4 linked regions of the Cricetulus griseus genome follow. The protein of the gene in region 4 purifies or fractionates together with the protein of the main gene of each other region. This does not show direct contact. Links are inferred from orthologs where the notes say so. Each region holds a gene or a part of one and is shown on either strand. Other genes may lie near its edges.

Region 1 (4,226 bases), on a different chromosome or scaffold from region 4:
CATCACTATTTAGACTGCCTAAAAATACTGTCAATTCTACCAAAACATAAGGCAAAAATCTTAGCCAATTCTTCAAAAAGAGGTTTTAAAAAATATCTGTTGCAAGTACAAAATAGCAAATGTCAACGATAGGGCAAGTCACATGTTCAGGCAAAACTGGCATTTTTAAAGTCTAACACCCAAGTTTCTACCAAAATTCTACACAACTAGCTCATGTCATAATGAATGAGAGTATCAACAGGACTTTAAAATAAATGTAAATCTTATTTTAGTTTCAACACTTAGAGCAGCACTGGAATGTCTGTTCTGAGATGCTCTGCTTGACAAATCTGAAGCACTAGAGATCTGACACTGCATCTTTGTCTCTCTCCATTTGTATGAAGCTGTAAGTTAGCAAATGTACTTTAGGTCTTCATTATATAAAACACTGCAATAAGCAGAGCCTGTGCTTTCCTTTTGCTTTGTTTTTTAAGAAGTATATTCAAGCACCATCAAAATAATAATTTAGGATGCAATTTTCCTAAGTGTTTCTGGGGCTTTAAATAGCTCATTCTCTAATATGACTCCAAAGAGAAAAAGCAGGAATCTTTTCGTTTAAGACCAGAATACAATCCTTTTCCAACTTGGGAGAACAAGAACAGGAAATTAAATTATGACCCAAATATTTCCACGTTTTTGCAAATAAAATTATGAGTAAATTGCTTAAAATATAGTGCTTTATATTTTATTTCTAAATATGGATTCACTGCTAATGTCCATTAATCAAAGGTAATTGAAAATAAATTCAAAAATTGCCAGAAATATAAACTACATTCAACTGTGACAGAATTAGCATTTTAAAATATTTTTCAAATGTTTTATGTGACATAAAAACCCCATAAAATTAAACTAATAACGACTTTTTTGAAACCGAGAAAGCCTTGTAGTAAAGTATTTTAAATATCAAAGGCAGATTCTTTACTTCAAATGAATTTAGGTTCTACAGATCGTATGTAATAAACAAAGGAAGTTTCATGGAATTGTGACCAGAATACATTCGAATTTCTTGGGTAGCAAACCTCTTTTCTGACTCAACAAAGCTATTGTTCAAGGGAAAACATGACCCACTAATAAGAAACTGTCAACCCTACTACAGTCTAAGCCCACATTTCTCGTGGGCATTTTATTTCGATCATCCAGTTGTATCATCTCTTCCACACTGAACCCCTGGAGATTCGGGGAATAATCGCTGAGTAAATGACAGTTGGTTTCGTTAGCACCTGTCGCCATTCTCAAAAGCAAACAAGTTGGCCTAAACAGCCCCTTTTTTAAACAACAACAGAAAAAAAAAAGATTACTCTTCTTTAGAAAGTGGAACTCACGAAACGCCCACCAAGTTTGGAGAAAGAAAGCCCGTGCTTTCTCAGTTTCTCCCATTTCCCAAAAAGTCGCCCCGCGCGCGGCACAGCCTGTGGTGCGCGCAGGGGGCGATGCACCGTGAGGCGAGCCCTCCGCGCCGGGGCCACCGAGAGCCCCGGGCGCAGCTCCACTGTCCCCAGGGAACTTAGCACAAAGCCAGGCGAGGAGGCTCCCCGCGGCTCTCGGGGAAATGTCAGCCTCGGGGCTGAGGGAGGTCCCACCTCGCTGGCGCTCGCAGTCCCGAAGCGCAGCGGCGGTGCCGGGTGCCGAGAGCTGCTCGCCCGCCCGCCCGCCCCCACCCCGCGCCCAGCCCAGCCCGGCCGGCCCGGCCCGCCCCGAAAGGCGAGCCCTGCCCACTCGCGCTCGCCTCGCGCCTCCCCACGCCCCCACCCGCGCGGCGGGAGCCCCGGGGGTCGCGCCCTCCCCTCCGCTCCGCTCCGGAGACACAGTCCGTCCTTTGTCTGAGTGCGGACTCCGCTCGGTCCCACCAACTTGTGTGTGGTGTCCCGTCCCGCCCGCCCGCCACACAAAGGAGACTTGAGGCTCGCAGCTGCCGGTCCCGATCGGCCACAGGAACGCCCCGGGCCCCGGCCCCGACGCGGGCCCCAGCCGGCCGGGCGGGATCGGTCTCCCGGACAGGAGCCCCCGCCACCGGCCCCGCCCGCCCGTGCGCTCGATCTCCAGGGACCCGCACAGGACACTCGCGGGACCGCGTGGACCGGCCCGCACCTCACGGCCCCCTCGGAAAGGTTCCGTCGCCCTCCCCGCCGGCCCCGCGCCGACAAAAGCGGCGCCCGAGGGAGCCCCGTTCGGGCGATGCCGGAGACCGGCCGGGCACCCGCGCCGAGGTCCGCGCGTCGCCGCCGCCGCCGCCGCCGCCCCGGGGCGCCGCGTTTCGGAGCCCGCACTGCCCACCGCCGGTCGCGAGCGCTACCTTCGCCCGCGCCGCCCCACGCGCCGCTCCCGCGCGCCGCTCCCGCGCGCCGCCCCCACGCGCCGCCGCCACTCCGCTGCCTTCGATGTCCCACTGGGTGTCGGACGCGACCGGACCGAGCGCCAAACGCAGCAGCCCAATCGCCATCGCTTTTATTAGCGCAATCAAGCGCCGCCCCGATTGGCGGACGCCGGAGTGCGCCCGTCCAATCAGAGCGCCCGACGCGCTGAGAGCCTTGCGCGCGGGCGCGAGTGGCGGGCGCTCGCTCGCTCGCTCGGAGGAGGAGGAGGCGGCGGAGGGAGGAGGAGGAGGAGAGCGGCTTGCGCGGTGGAAGGCGCCCCCCGGTCGCCGTCTTTGTTCTGGTGCCGGCGTCGGGTACCTGTCGGGGGCGCCGCGGGCAGGCCGGGGCCCGGCACTCGGCAGGCCTCGAAGCCCGCTGTGATGAGAGGAGGCGGGGAGGCCGCGGTGGCGGGAACCGGCCGGAGGGCGGGCCTGCCCTTGGCGGGAACCGCTCTCCAGAGGGGGAGGGGGAGGGGAGGGAGGGGGGGCGGGCGAGCGAGCGGGCGGGCGCCAGAGCCAAGTTTGAAATAGTTCAAATCTGGGGGAGGTGACAGTTGTAACCGCCATCTCTGGTGTGCACATCCTGGCTGGGCCCCGGGGCCCCTCGCTCGCACAGGAAGACGCGTGGCGGACCCCACGGGGCAGAGAAAGCGCGGTTCCTTTCGGCGTCTTTGGCTCGCAGAACCGGCTGGCGCCAAGAGTCCCGGCCGCGTCAGAAAAAAGCAACAGGACGGTGACTTCGGGTTTCTCCTGAACAAGCCGTGTTTGTGGTTTGCTCAGCTTTGTCCGGCTCCAGGTTGTTTATTAACAACTTCGGAGAGCAGATCGCCTACCCCCTGCTGTCGCGGGAAAGTGTGTAAGGAAGATTGCAACGTTTGTCAAGGGTTAGAAAACCACCTTGGGAGTCCCTCTGTCTCAACCAAGAGGAGTTAGGAATGTGCTTAGTATACACTCTTAACCCCTGTTGCGTTATCTGGCAGCTGGAGTGAAAGAAACTTCGAATTTGCTTCGTTTGTGTAGCCCTGGCTGGCCTCCAACTAGTTCTGGAGACCAGGCTGGCCCTCCAACACACAGAGATCCGCCTGCCTCTGCCTCCCGAGTGCTGGAATTCAAGGCGTGCTCTACCAGCGCCCGGCCGAATTCACTTTTAATAATATGTGTCTGTATGGCAAAATCCCATAGACCCGTAAAAACAGATTCAATAATGAAGAGTTAAGACTGAGAATTTGTAACACTGGAAATTGAGTTATGTATCTGTCGTGGTTCTCTAGAGGATCAGAACTGATAAAATGAATATATATGTATGTGTGTGTGTGTAGATGAAGATGGAGATATATGAGAATTGCTTACAGCCTGTGGACCAACTAGTCCAACAATTGCTGTCCACCAACAGAAAACCAAGAATCCAGTATTAGTTCATTCCACAAACCTGGATGTCTTTGACTGGTCTTTAATATACTGCCAGTGAGAGAATGGATTTGCCACCTGGAGCTAAAACAAGTAGGTTTAACTTCCCACCTCAAAAGATCCAGATTAAAAACAAATGATTTAATTAAAAAAATCCCTGAAGGGTACACCCAGCCTCTTTGAGTTTTAGTTAATTCCTGATATAGTCAAGTTGACCACCGAGAATAGCAGCAAAGCATCTAGTCCTTCATGTGTACTGAAACTATCCAATGCTGAGAAGTATGCTTAGAATCTCTAAGATTGAGAGAAAATGCAATTATGTCCAAATACAAACAAAATATGTACACCCAGAGTGCATGTGACAAATGCTAGCAGTCATACCAAACAATCATCAGTATATTAACCTGCCCTGGTAAAAATGCTTCTA
Region 2 (4,033 bases), on a different chromosome or scaffold from region 4:
GCCCCGGCCCCGGCCCAGCCCGCCGCGGGCCCCGCTCACCCCTCCCGGCCCGCGCTGCGTCCGGAGCTCGGCGTGAGCACGGACTCGGCTCCCGCAACGGCAACTCGTGCTCTGCCTCGCGCCTCCACCGGCGGCCACATCGGCTTGCGGCCAGATGCCCGGACTCGCCAGGATCCGCTGGCCACGAGCAACAACAAAAAAGCCTACCGCACAGTACTCTCCAACTTATCAAGGTCCGGGATAGGGTGGAGGGTTCTTGTCCAAGTTCTACCTCATCTCCTTTGTGGCTACATCAGAAACAGACATGTTCTGGGAAGGCGGACTCTCCAAGGCAAGGCTCTGCCCAAGCAGTTTCTACACACTGAGTTTAAACTAGTCCTTAGCGATCTACCCAGCCCTCTGCAATGCGGATGTATTTTAATTCTTAAATTCCTTATGGAGCAGCTTTGTAAGTTGAGCTTCATTATTTAATCTCGCGTTTCTTTCATAGTTAAGTTTACGTGTCTAGATTAGAATCAGCTCTCCGGAAGAGGAATTCAGGTTTTCTCCATTAAATATATTTTTTACAGAGGCACTGCCCCGAAGGTCATCTCCCATTATACACTCCACACAGAAAGGGAAAAATACTAACACCAAATTATCGACTCTAGTTATATAAAACTTTCTTATAGGATCGCATTGTTCTTTATGTGTATCTTCGAGGGCCTTTTTTCGGGGGGGGGGGGGAGATGAGTTATTTGCTCTAAGCATATGCAGCTAACCACCGGATCACTCGAGTGCATATTTGGTTAATCCCCTGGTTCCCTTCTTTGCTCCCTCCCCCCAAAACTTTACCAAAAAAAGAAAAAAAGGGCCACTACACAAAACAAAAACACTCCTTATGCCGAGCAAAACGTTGCTATACTATGCACAAAACAAATTTAACTATTACAACCCAATTTCAGAAACCCAATTAACAAGAATAAATTTGTAGTGACCACAAATGCATTCACTCACACACATATATACTTAAAAACATTAGCTCTGTTTTTGCCCTAAACCCAGAAACCATGAATTCTTTTTAAACAAAACCAAAATCAGCCTCATTACTAAAGTCAATACCAATAAATGCAGTCCCTGTAACATGATTCCCAACTGAGTTATGTTGCAAACTAGATAAGCCAAAATGACCACATATATTAAATGGATGTGCCAGTGCAAGAAGCTCGCTCTAATCGGACCCAGGATTGCAACTTAAAGGGTTTCCAACACACACACCTTACACGATTTTCCAAATAACACCAAGAACAGGCTCATTTGTATGCAAAGTGCAGTATGGGGCCAAATCCGCCCGAGAATGCAGTTTAGTTATATTACCACAGGCACCCACACACAGAGCCCCAACCTCCACCAAAATCACTTGCCTTTCATCTAAAACTACATTAATGTTGTGTCATTCCAGGTCAATTTATTCACTTGAGGTATCTCTACACCAGTCTGTTTTCTCAACCAAACTAGGCAGACACGACTTTGCCTGAAAAGCTCTTTGGGAAAAGAAAGAAACAGCCTTATCGGACGCTATGTTTAAAACACTTGAGCTGCAGAATTATCTATAAACTTGACATTCACAACCATTGCTCACAACTGCAAGCCAAAGGATGTGTTATTAGGAGCACTTACGTATTTCTTCTGAATGATATTCCTCTTGGGTCTTTCTTTGCTCATTCTGAGATCGAAATGCTGATTGCAGAAGGAAACAATTGCTTCATGAATTTAAAGCCGTCAGAAATTTGCAAAAAAATATCCTGGTGGTTTTTATTGTTGGTGGTGGTGGTTGATCTTGTAATCCGACTTTTCTTCCTCTTCCCCCAAAGCCAGATTCGCCTTGAAATAAATCCGAAATTGAGAAGGATAAAAGAAAAAATAAAAAAGCCAAAGACGAACGAAGCAAACAAGAAAAATTCACTTTAGTAAAACACTCATAATGGAAAATTTTCCCCGAAACACACAAAACAGAGACACAAAAAAAAGAAAAAAGAAAAAAAAAAACCGACGCCCTTCACTCCCCCCCTTTTTCTTCCAAAAACTACATCAGCGAAACGTGAAGGTCCTTAGTGTCTGATCTGTAGTTACATCTTGGAAAAGAAAAAGGAAGGATAAATTTAAAATGTTGGAAGTCACGTTTGTGCTGCAGCAGCAGTGCGAGCAGAAGAGTCAACTCCAGCGGCGGCGGCGGCGGCGGCAGCACCACAGCGGAGGGCTCGCCGAGTCTCTTTTTTCCAAGCCCCCTAACCAATGAGAGACAGGCTATCCAGCCCAACTTTAAATGGACTCTGCTTTTATACAAGTTAGGGCTCCTCGGCTAATTCCCCGCCGCTCGCCAGCCGAAAACTCCCACAGCTGAGCCCCCGCACGCTTGCTTACCCTTTGCCCACCAGCCCTGGCCCCGTGCACAAGAAACCCCCAGCCCCGTCGACCAGACCCGGGAGAGGCCTCCGCGACTCCTTCGCGGACCGCCCGTCAGGCGCCTCTCCCACTCCTACCCCAAGCACGGAATTGAGAGAGGCTCCCTAGACTCAATGCATGGCACGCTCGGTCGCTCCACCTCAGCCCCTTCCCCCCCTCCCCGCAGTCCGCTCACCCCACGGCCGGCCGCCACATGCAAACCCTCGCCGCTGCCCTCACGTCTACCTGCAGCCGGGCAGCTGGGTACCAGTGCCCCAGGACGCCCGGCCCGGGGGAGAGCCGCCTATTCCCGGGGCACCTTAGAACAGTCCCCTTGATCTTCTGGAAGTTGTAGTCCCTTGACTACAAAATGGCTATGGCCACGGGAGCTAGGAACTACAATTCCCAGCGTGCTCCGCACCGCCTGTCACTCAACTCCCTTCCCTGATCTGCCCCCCCCTCCCCCTTCGCCGGCCCTGCCAACAAACGCTTGGACGTGTCCCGCGTGCGACACTGCTAGAGGCTGGCTCGGGATTGGCCCGCGGAGCGTGTGGTCCGCGAGCGAGGAACTCCCCACGCCGGCCCGCCCCCAGTCCCCTCCCCGCAGGCGGCCGGCCAGGCCCGCGCGCCCCGCCCCCACCCGGGGCGCGAACCGCCTGTGGAATCGAGGAATCGCTCGCGCGCGCCGGCGCGCGGGGGCGCGAGGGGCGCGGGCGCGGGGGCGCGGGCCGCGAGGGGAAAGCCGCCAGGCTTCCCCGAGGAAGGCCTCGGAGCGTGGCGGCGCGGGGGGCGGTGTCAGCGAGGGGTTGGAGCGGGTCCTAAGCAAAACTGGGCCACGCACCAAGAGGAATCCTCGGTGCGAACTCGCTGATCGGCGGCGCCTGCTGCTTCTGCCGTGGCAGGCGGTGTCACCTCAGGACAGCGCCTCGCGCCCGTGTGCGGAGGGAGCGGGCGGGCGGGCGAGCGGGCGAGCCAGCGGCGCGCGGCCGGGGTGGTCCGAGGTCACGGCTTTGCCGCCGGCCCGTGGCCACTCGCGACCCCACGCGCGAGGCGGAGGGCAGGGCGACCTCCGGACCGGGCACGCGGCCCCGCGGTCGCCAGCCCGCGAGCCTCCGCCCGGCGCGACACTAGGCCGTCGCTGGTGGCTCGGAGGTGAAGCCCCAGCTGTCTGTGAAGACGGTTAAGGGGGTCTTTACCCTGAGGACTAGGGCTGTCCGCGAGTAAGACTGAAACGCTGAGGTGAAAAAAAAAAAAAAAAAAAAGACCCAGCGGAATACGGAGCCCGAGCGACACACACGCAGACCGCAAGGAAGCGTCTCGAACACCGAGTGCCCGAAATACCAACGGTCTGTGCCCCACAGCCTTACCTGCCCCAGCCCCTGCCCAGGCTCGTCAGTCGCTCAGATCAATGGATCGCAGGCCCTGCTGTCGCTCTCTGGGGCTTTCGCACTCGCAGTAACTTTATCAAGTCTCCCGGCGTCTGCGTTAATTTCCTGGTCTTTACTTGGGGTCTTAGAGGTCCTCTTTTTCAAATCTGCCAGGTTAGCGTCAGTCAAACGAAAACGCTGGCCCCTCCCCGGTCCACCTGCAGACACACCTTTTCATTCTT
Region 3 (3,567 bases), about 110 Mb from region 4:
GGGTGCCAGGAACAGAACCCAGGTTTTCTGCTTTTGACCACTTAGCCATCTCTTCAGGCCCTAACATACTGATTTTTAATTTTAATTATGTGTGTATATCTGTGGGTGACTATGTGCACCTGAGTGCAAGAGCCCTTGGAAGCCAAAAGGTGGCATCAGATCCCTTGGAGCTAAAGCTGTTATTTCCTTCTAAGCTGCCTGATATGGGTGCTGGGAACCCAGAGTTTTCTACAAGCACTTTTACCCATTCCAGCTCCTTCTACGAGATAGTCTAACTCCTCAGCTAAGTATGGTGGCACACGTCAATAATCCCAGTACTCTAGAGGCAGAGGCAGGTAGATCTCTGTGAATTTAAGGCCACCCAGGACTGCATAGTGAAACCCTGTCTCAAAACAAAACAAAAAATAACAACAAAATAAACTCTAGCTAGTATGTTGAAATAAAGGCTCTTTACCCAGCTCAATTAATATTTGTGGGGGAAAAATGTGTTCTAAAGAACTCTAGCTGGAGTGAGTATAGACAGAGTAGAGTATAAACAGAGTAGAGTCATAGGTGCAACCCCTAGAACCACAACCACTCAGTCTTCAGCTATTACACAAACATGAGGAATTCTCTATATGGGTCCGCTGTGGTGGCACATGCCCGTAATTCCAGAAGCTGAGAGGTAGGGGCAGGAGGATGAGGAGTTCAAGGTTAGGCCTGGGTTATCAAAAATTCTCAAAATCCCAAAAGACTTCGCTGTGTATATTCTTTTTCTTTTCTTCAAACTTTTACAAAAATTCTATGTATTTAGTGGGTGTGTACAGAGATGTAGACACACCCTGCCATTCACGTGTGTGGAGATAAGAGGACAGACAACGCAGGAAGCAGTTCTCTCTGTCCATCATGTGGTTCCAGGGATCTAAGCCAGGCTTCCTGGCAAGTTTGTTTTGCTGCCTTTACCTGCTGAACCACCTCACCAGCCCTCCTTCTTTTTTCTCTTTCCCCCTCTTCCCCCTCTTGTGAGGCAGGGTTTTAGTCTAGGTCCAAGTGATTCACCTGCCTTTCTTGCAATGCTAGAGATATGTATGTATGTAGGTAGGTAGGTAGGTAACACTGCATCCAGATAAACAAATCTGCAGGTGATAGCGGTTGTGGAAACATGATTTCATTAGTAGCACAGGTTGGCCTTGAACTCTGATCCTCCTGCCTCAGACTCCCAGAGTAGAATTCCAGACCTAGTTAGTTACATACTACCATGCTCAACCCATATAACCTTTTTTTCCCACTTTTATTTTTATTTATTTATATGTATGTGTATGCCAAGTGTGTGCGGATGCCCGAGGACAGAAGTGTCAGGTGTCTCCTTGAACTGAAATTACACATGGTTGTGAGCTGCCTACCACGGATGCGGGGAACCAAACTCAGGTCCTTTGGAAGAGCAGAAAGTGCTTTTAACCACTGAGCCACCTCTCCAGCCCTAACACTTTTTAAAAACAACATCCTAAAGAAAGAGGAGACTGTGAATGCATCGTAGGAAAAACTCCTGTTTCTCAGTTCTCCCTAAAAGGAGAAGATGGGAGAAGCATCATATCTAGTTCCTATTTCCAGACTCCCCACCTGACTTTCACAGCTGGGAAAAGTGGCACATCCCTGTAACCTCAGCTATCTAAGCTGTGGAGAAAGGAAAACTGCTTGAAAATATAGAGAGTGGGGAGGGGAGAAAGGGGAAGAGTTGGGAGAGCAAGGAGAGACTTTGAGAGCCCAGGAGTTGGGGTGCTTTTATACAGTAGAACAGGGGTTAGAGTGATGGCTTATCAGCATGGGGAACTGGCTGCTCTTCCAGAGGACCTGGGATTGATTCCCAGCACCCACACAGTGGCTCACACTGTCTGTGACTCTAGTTCCAAGAGATCTGACTCCCTTTTCTGACTTCCTTGGACAACAGGTATGCCCACAATGCAGACATACATGTAGGCAAAACGCTCATATACATAAAACAATAAAATAATGTTTTAAAATTAAAAATAGACTAACCAACCCCCACAACTTTTCAGTGGCTCACACCTTCCTGCCCTGTAGGATGCCTGAACCATAGCAAAGGGATATCAAAGGTCTACAGGCAGCTATGGGGCAGAAGGGAGCCTGGAGACTCCAAGGCCAACCACTTTGGTAGACGATGGTGAAAGCAGGGTGCTCTTACAGTCTGGGCTGCACTGGCAGAACTTCTCACAGAAATTCTGGGTCATGATGCAGGGGCAGGTGCTGTCACAGGGACGGTCTGGGTGGTCACAGGGTTGGTAGTTATACACCTGTGTAGAAGAGTTATCTAGAAGAGAATAGAGAAGGACACTGCTATGACCAGGCTCCCTTGATGCCCTACTCTCCAAATGTTCCAGTGCCCCAAGTCAAAGTAAGCTTGTCCTAATCATGACTTTAGACACACTTAGCACCTGATAAAGTAGCTGACCCCTGTACATAAACATGTGAGATATCTGCTTTGTGGGTAGGGTGTGGAGAAGGCCAGAGATAACAAGGCAGCTACTCTAAACATGAAAAGAGGTCTGGCACTGGCAAACAGCACACTAGGAAACTTAAGAGACCACAAGGCCTTAAGTTTATCTCCTGAGAGGGCATCTTAGCTGTAGCCACTGGCTCAGCCCTTGAGACGCTGCAAAGAAATCTGCAATCTGCAGAAGCAGCCAGGGTCAACAAGAGAGCTATAGGTGTGGCAGGGTGAAAACCACAGGGTGAGGCTTCAGTCTGAACTGTGTGTACCTGTGTATGTGAGCGCATGTGCGCATGTGCCTAGGATGGAGCCTATAATCTTGAACACGCTAAGAACACACTCTACTCTAAGTGGGGGCCTTTCTCCCACTGAACTCACCTTTCTTCAGCTGAATTTTCCTGCAGTGTGCGGCCCACAACCTAGGAGAGAGAGACGGGATAGGTCTGAATCCCGATCCTCTGTAGATGCAGACAAATGACAGTGTGCCCTGCTCTGAGGGACAGTTTGACAACTTTGAGGTACCCTTCCAGAGTTCCTTAGAAGGAGGCACCTACTTTGGTCGGCTGAATCTAGAGCCTGTCTAACAAAGCAAAAACTCACAAACTTGTCTCTTATCACACTATTGCTCCTTCCTTTTCCTTCCTATTGCTCCTTCCTTTTCCTTCGTTCTCTTTGCCAGAGCTCTAAGGTGGGAAAGTCTTTCAGTGAGGAAACTGACAGGAAAGAGACAGAACAGCTTTTGTATCTGGAGCTAGAGCCACCTCCCTTCCCTGGCTACCAATACACATCAGGGAATCTGGCTGTCTGTCAGAGTGATAGTTTTATTTTCAGACAGGGTCTCACTATGTAGCCCTGCCTGGCCTGACACTATGTAGAACAGACTGGCATTGAACTCACAGAGGCCCATCTGCCTCTGCCTCTGCCTCTTGAGTACTGGGATTAACCATGTCTAGCTACTAAACTTTCTTCAACTTCCAATCCATATACACAGTTATGTGATTCTGAAAAACAACACATATAAATATCTAGATAAAAAAAAAAAAGGAACAAACTCCTGAGAGGTGATAAGTGGGGAAGAG
Region 4 (2,324 bases):
TGGGTTTGAATCATGTTTAATATCCTATCCTAGAAACATTCTACAAATCTTAAGATTTAAAAAATTAAGTCTCTCCTCTGATTTTTAAAAGATATCTTTTTATGACAACATCCATAACATTGACAAGTACATGTTAAGGCTAGTATCATCTCCTTCTGTGAATTTTTTTGAGTTTTCTGCTTGTTTGTTTTTTTAAGAAAGATAGTAAAGCCCACACTCTTTTAGGGCTTTGAACCACAGAATGTGAGTGCAGTGAACATTATGTTCAGTCCTGCGGTCAGGATGCAGTGGCTCCTTCCCATTCCACGAGGTACTGCACCTTTCCATCAAGGGTCACCCGACGAGCCAAAACTCGGTACTTCTCACCACATGCTATTCTACCTGCAGCACCAAAGTAACTAGTGATAGAGTTTTTCAGGTGATTGAGTTGCAGCTCCTGATCGGCTAAGTTATTCAGGATTTCTGTGTTAATTTCTTCAAACTGATAATCTTCTTTGCCTTCATCATCTTTTACAACTTCTGAGTTCTGAGTCTGGAGTGTTCTTCTTGGAAGGCGACCTCTTCTTCTCCGCAAATGTGGTATTGCAGCAGGCCAAGATCTTCCTGTGCGAGTTCTTTTCCTAGAGTCAGATAATCTAGGGTGGGGAAAAAAAAAACATGTCTCTAAGATGTTTTCTTAATCAGAGTTTAGAATCTTTGTACCTGAAAAGGGCTGTGTGTGTTGATTCAAATGTTTAAAATATAAAACCATCCTAAAGCAAGGTACACTTGTATAATGCAAACACCAAAGTTCTTAACAGGAGCCAGGTGTGGCAATACACTTTCAGTCCCAGAACTGTGGAGACAGAGGCAGGCAAATCTCTGGGAGGCCAGCCTGCTTTACATAGTGAGTTCCAAAACAGCCAGAGCTACATGGAAATCTGCCCCCGTCCTCGTTCCCCATCCCCCCCCACACACACAAAAGGTGGTTGGGGGCAACAGAAAGGTGTACAGCTTACTATATACAATGGCCAGAGCACATATCTCTATACACAAATCTGGTTGGACTGGGTTGCAAATCAAAGCATGGCTCAGTGAATAAAGACACCTGAGAACCTGAATTCAACCCCGAGAACCAATAAGATGAAAGGAGAGCATCGACTACTTCATGACCTCTATGCACACATGCTTGTGCATACCCACATCCAAAATAAATCAATGGGGGGGGTTTTTTGCGAGATCTCGAGAACGTGCGTGCGCACACACACTCGCACGTCTGTATTTGGATGGGGAGGGGGACATCAACACAGGTTTCTCTGTGTAGCCTTGTCTGTACTAGAACTCACCCTGTAGACCAGGTCGGCCTCAAACTCACAGATCTGCCTGCCTCTGCCTCTTGAGTGCTGGGATTAAAGGCGCTCAAGTATTAAAGGTGCGCCTCTACCATCTGGGGCATCTCTATTTTTATTTTGAAATAACAAGCAAACTTTTTTAAAGGGTTAGTAAGCTAAGGAAACCAAATTAGGAAACTCATAAGACTCAGAAAGCATAGAAAGTTCCAAGACTCCCCCTTCAGTTATAAGAACAGGGGGAATGCACTGGGGAGGAACTCTTTTTGGAACTATCTACAAGTTATGCAGGGACTTCCAGGGACAGAGCTTTTATGAGTTGTCAACTCACGGCTTCTCAGTGACACAGCTGCCTTTTTTTATTTTTTATTTTTTTAAGGCTCACATAGAAGGTTTAGAAGAGGAGAGAGAAGGGGCAGAGGGAGGTGTCGGGGTGTCAGGCGGAGGAAGAGAGTGACACAGCTGCAAGTCACCCCCAAATAATACATCACTGTCTCACAAAGCTTTTAGAAAAAAAATTAATTTAATTAAAAAACAAAACACAAAACCTACCCCAGGCAATGGTGGTACAAAATTTTAATTCCAGCACTCAAGGCAGAGGCAAGGAGTTCCAATGTTTGAGTTTCAAGGCCAGCCTGGTCTACAGAAAGAATCACAAACCCTGTCTCTAAATAAACGGATAGATGGATGGGTGGGTGGATTTTAAGGGCCAGAATAAGAACATAAAACACCTACCCATAATGCCTGGAAATGCTAGATGAGGTAGTTTCTTTTGCACTGGAAGCACCCGTGAGGTCCACATCTGAGGTATTGGATGAATGTGCAATTCCCTCAGTTCTCCTGAGACAAAAGAATTTAAATGGTATAACAACTATATTACATAACAATATAAAAATACTAATTCCCTCATAAAGAAAATTCCTAAGAGAGAAAAAAATTAACTATTTACCCTATAGAACAAGGTAAATCCAACGCAGGATTCTCTGACACTGATTC

Evidence for each region.
Region 1: the proteins of Mtf2 (region 4) and Ezh2 purify together in Homo sapiens (affinity purification with mass spectrometry; 10 studies listed by BioGRID and IntAct, with this or other methods). This does not show direct contact. The link is inferred for Cricetulus griseus from reciprocal best matches to the Homo sapiens genes MTF2 and EZH2.
Region 2: the proteins of Mtf2 (region 4) and Jarid2 purify together in Homo sapiens (affinity purification with mass spectrometry; 3 studies listed by BioGRID and IntAct, with this or other methods). This does not show direct contact. The link is inferred for Cricetulus griseus from reciprocal best matches to the Homo sapiens genes MTF2 and JARID2.
Region 3: the proteins of Mtf2 (region 4) and Ezh1 purify together in Homo sapiens (affinity purification with mass spectrometry; 3 studies listed by BioGRID and IntAct, with this or other methods). This does not show direct contact. The link is inferred for Cricetulus griseus from reciprocal best matches to the Homo sapiens genes MTF2 and EZH1.

Annotation. Positions count from the first base shown.
Region 1 is NW_023276806.1:222,346,776-222,351,001, reverse strand, and holds the start of Ezh2 (histone-lysine N-methyltransferase EZH2), read right to left. Parts: upstream 2,807-4,226; 5' UTR 2,712-2,806; intron 1-2,711. UniProt on the Homo sapiens protein: Polycomb group (PcG) protein. Catalytic subunit of the PRC2/EED-EZH2 complex, which methylates 'Lys-9' (H3K9me) and 'Lys-27' (H3K27me) of histone H3, leading to transcriptional repression of the affected target gene.
Region 2 is NC_048596.1:264,432,497-264,436,529, reverse strand, and holds the start of Jarid2 (protein Jumonji), read right to left. Parts: upstream 2,819-4,033; 5' UTR 2,671-2,818; exon of another isoform or gene 2,621-2,670; intron 2,273-2,620; exon of another isoform or gene 1,864-2,272; 5' UTR 1,705-1,863; coding exon 1,660-1,704; intron 1-1,659.
Region 3 is NC_048600.1:114,246,834-114,250,400, forward strand, and holds part of Ezh1 (histone-lysine N-methyltransferase EZH1), read right to left. Parts: intron 2,908-3,567; coding exon 2,867-2,907; intron 2,309-2,866; coding exon 2,183-2,308; intron 1-2,182.
Region 4 is NC_048600.1:2,858,833-2,861,156, reverse strand, and holds part of Mtf2 (metal-response element-binding transcription factor 2), read right to left. Parts: coding exon 2,278-2,324; intron 2,169-2,277; coding exon 2,064-2,168; intron 636-2,063; coding exon 278-635; 3' UTR 1-277. UniProt on the Homo sapiens protein: Polycomb group (PcG) protein that specifically binds histone H3 trimethylated at 'Lys-36' (H3K36me3) and recruits the PRC2 complex, thus enhancing PRC2 H3K27me3 methylation activity.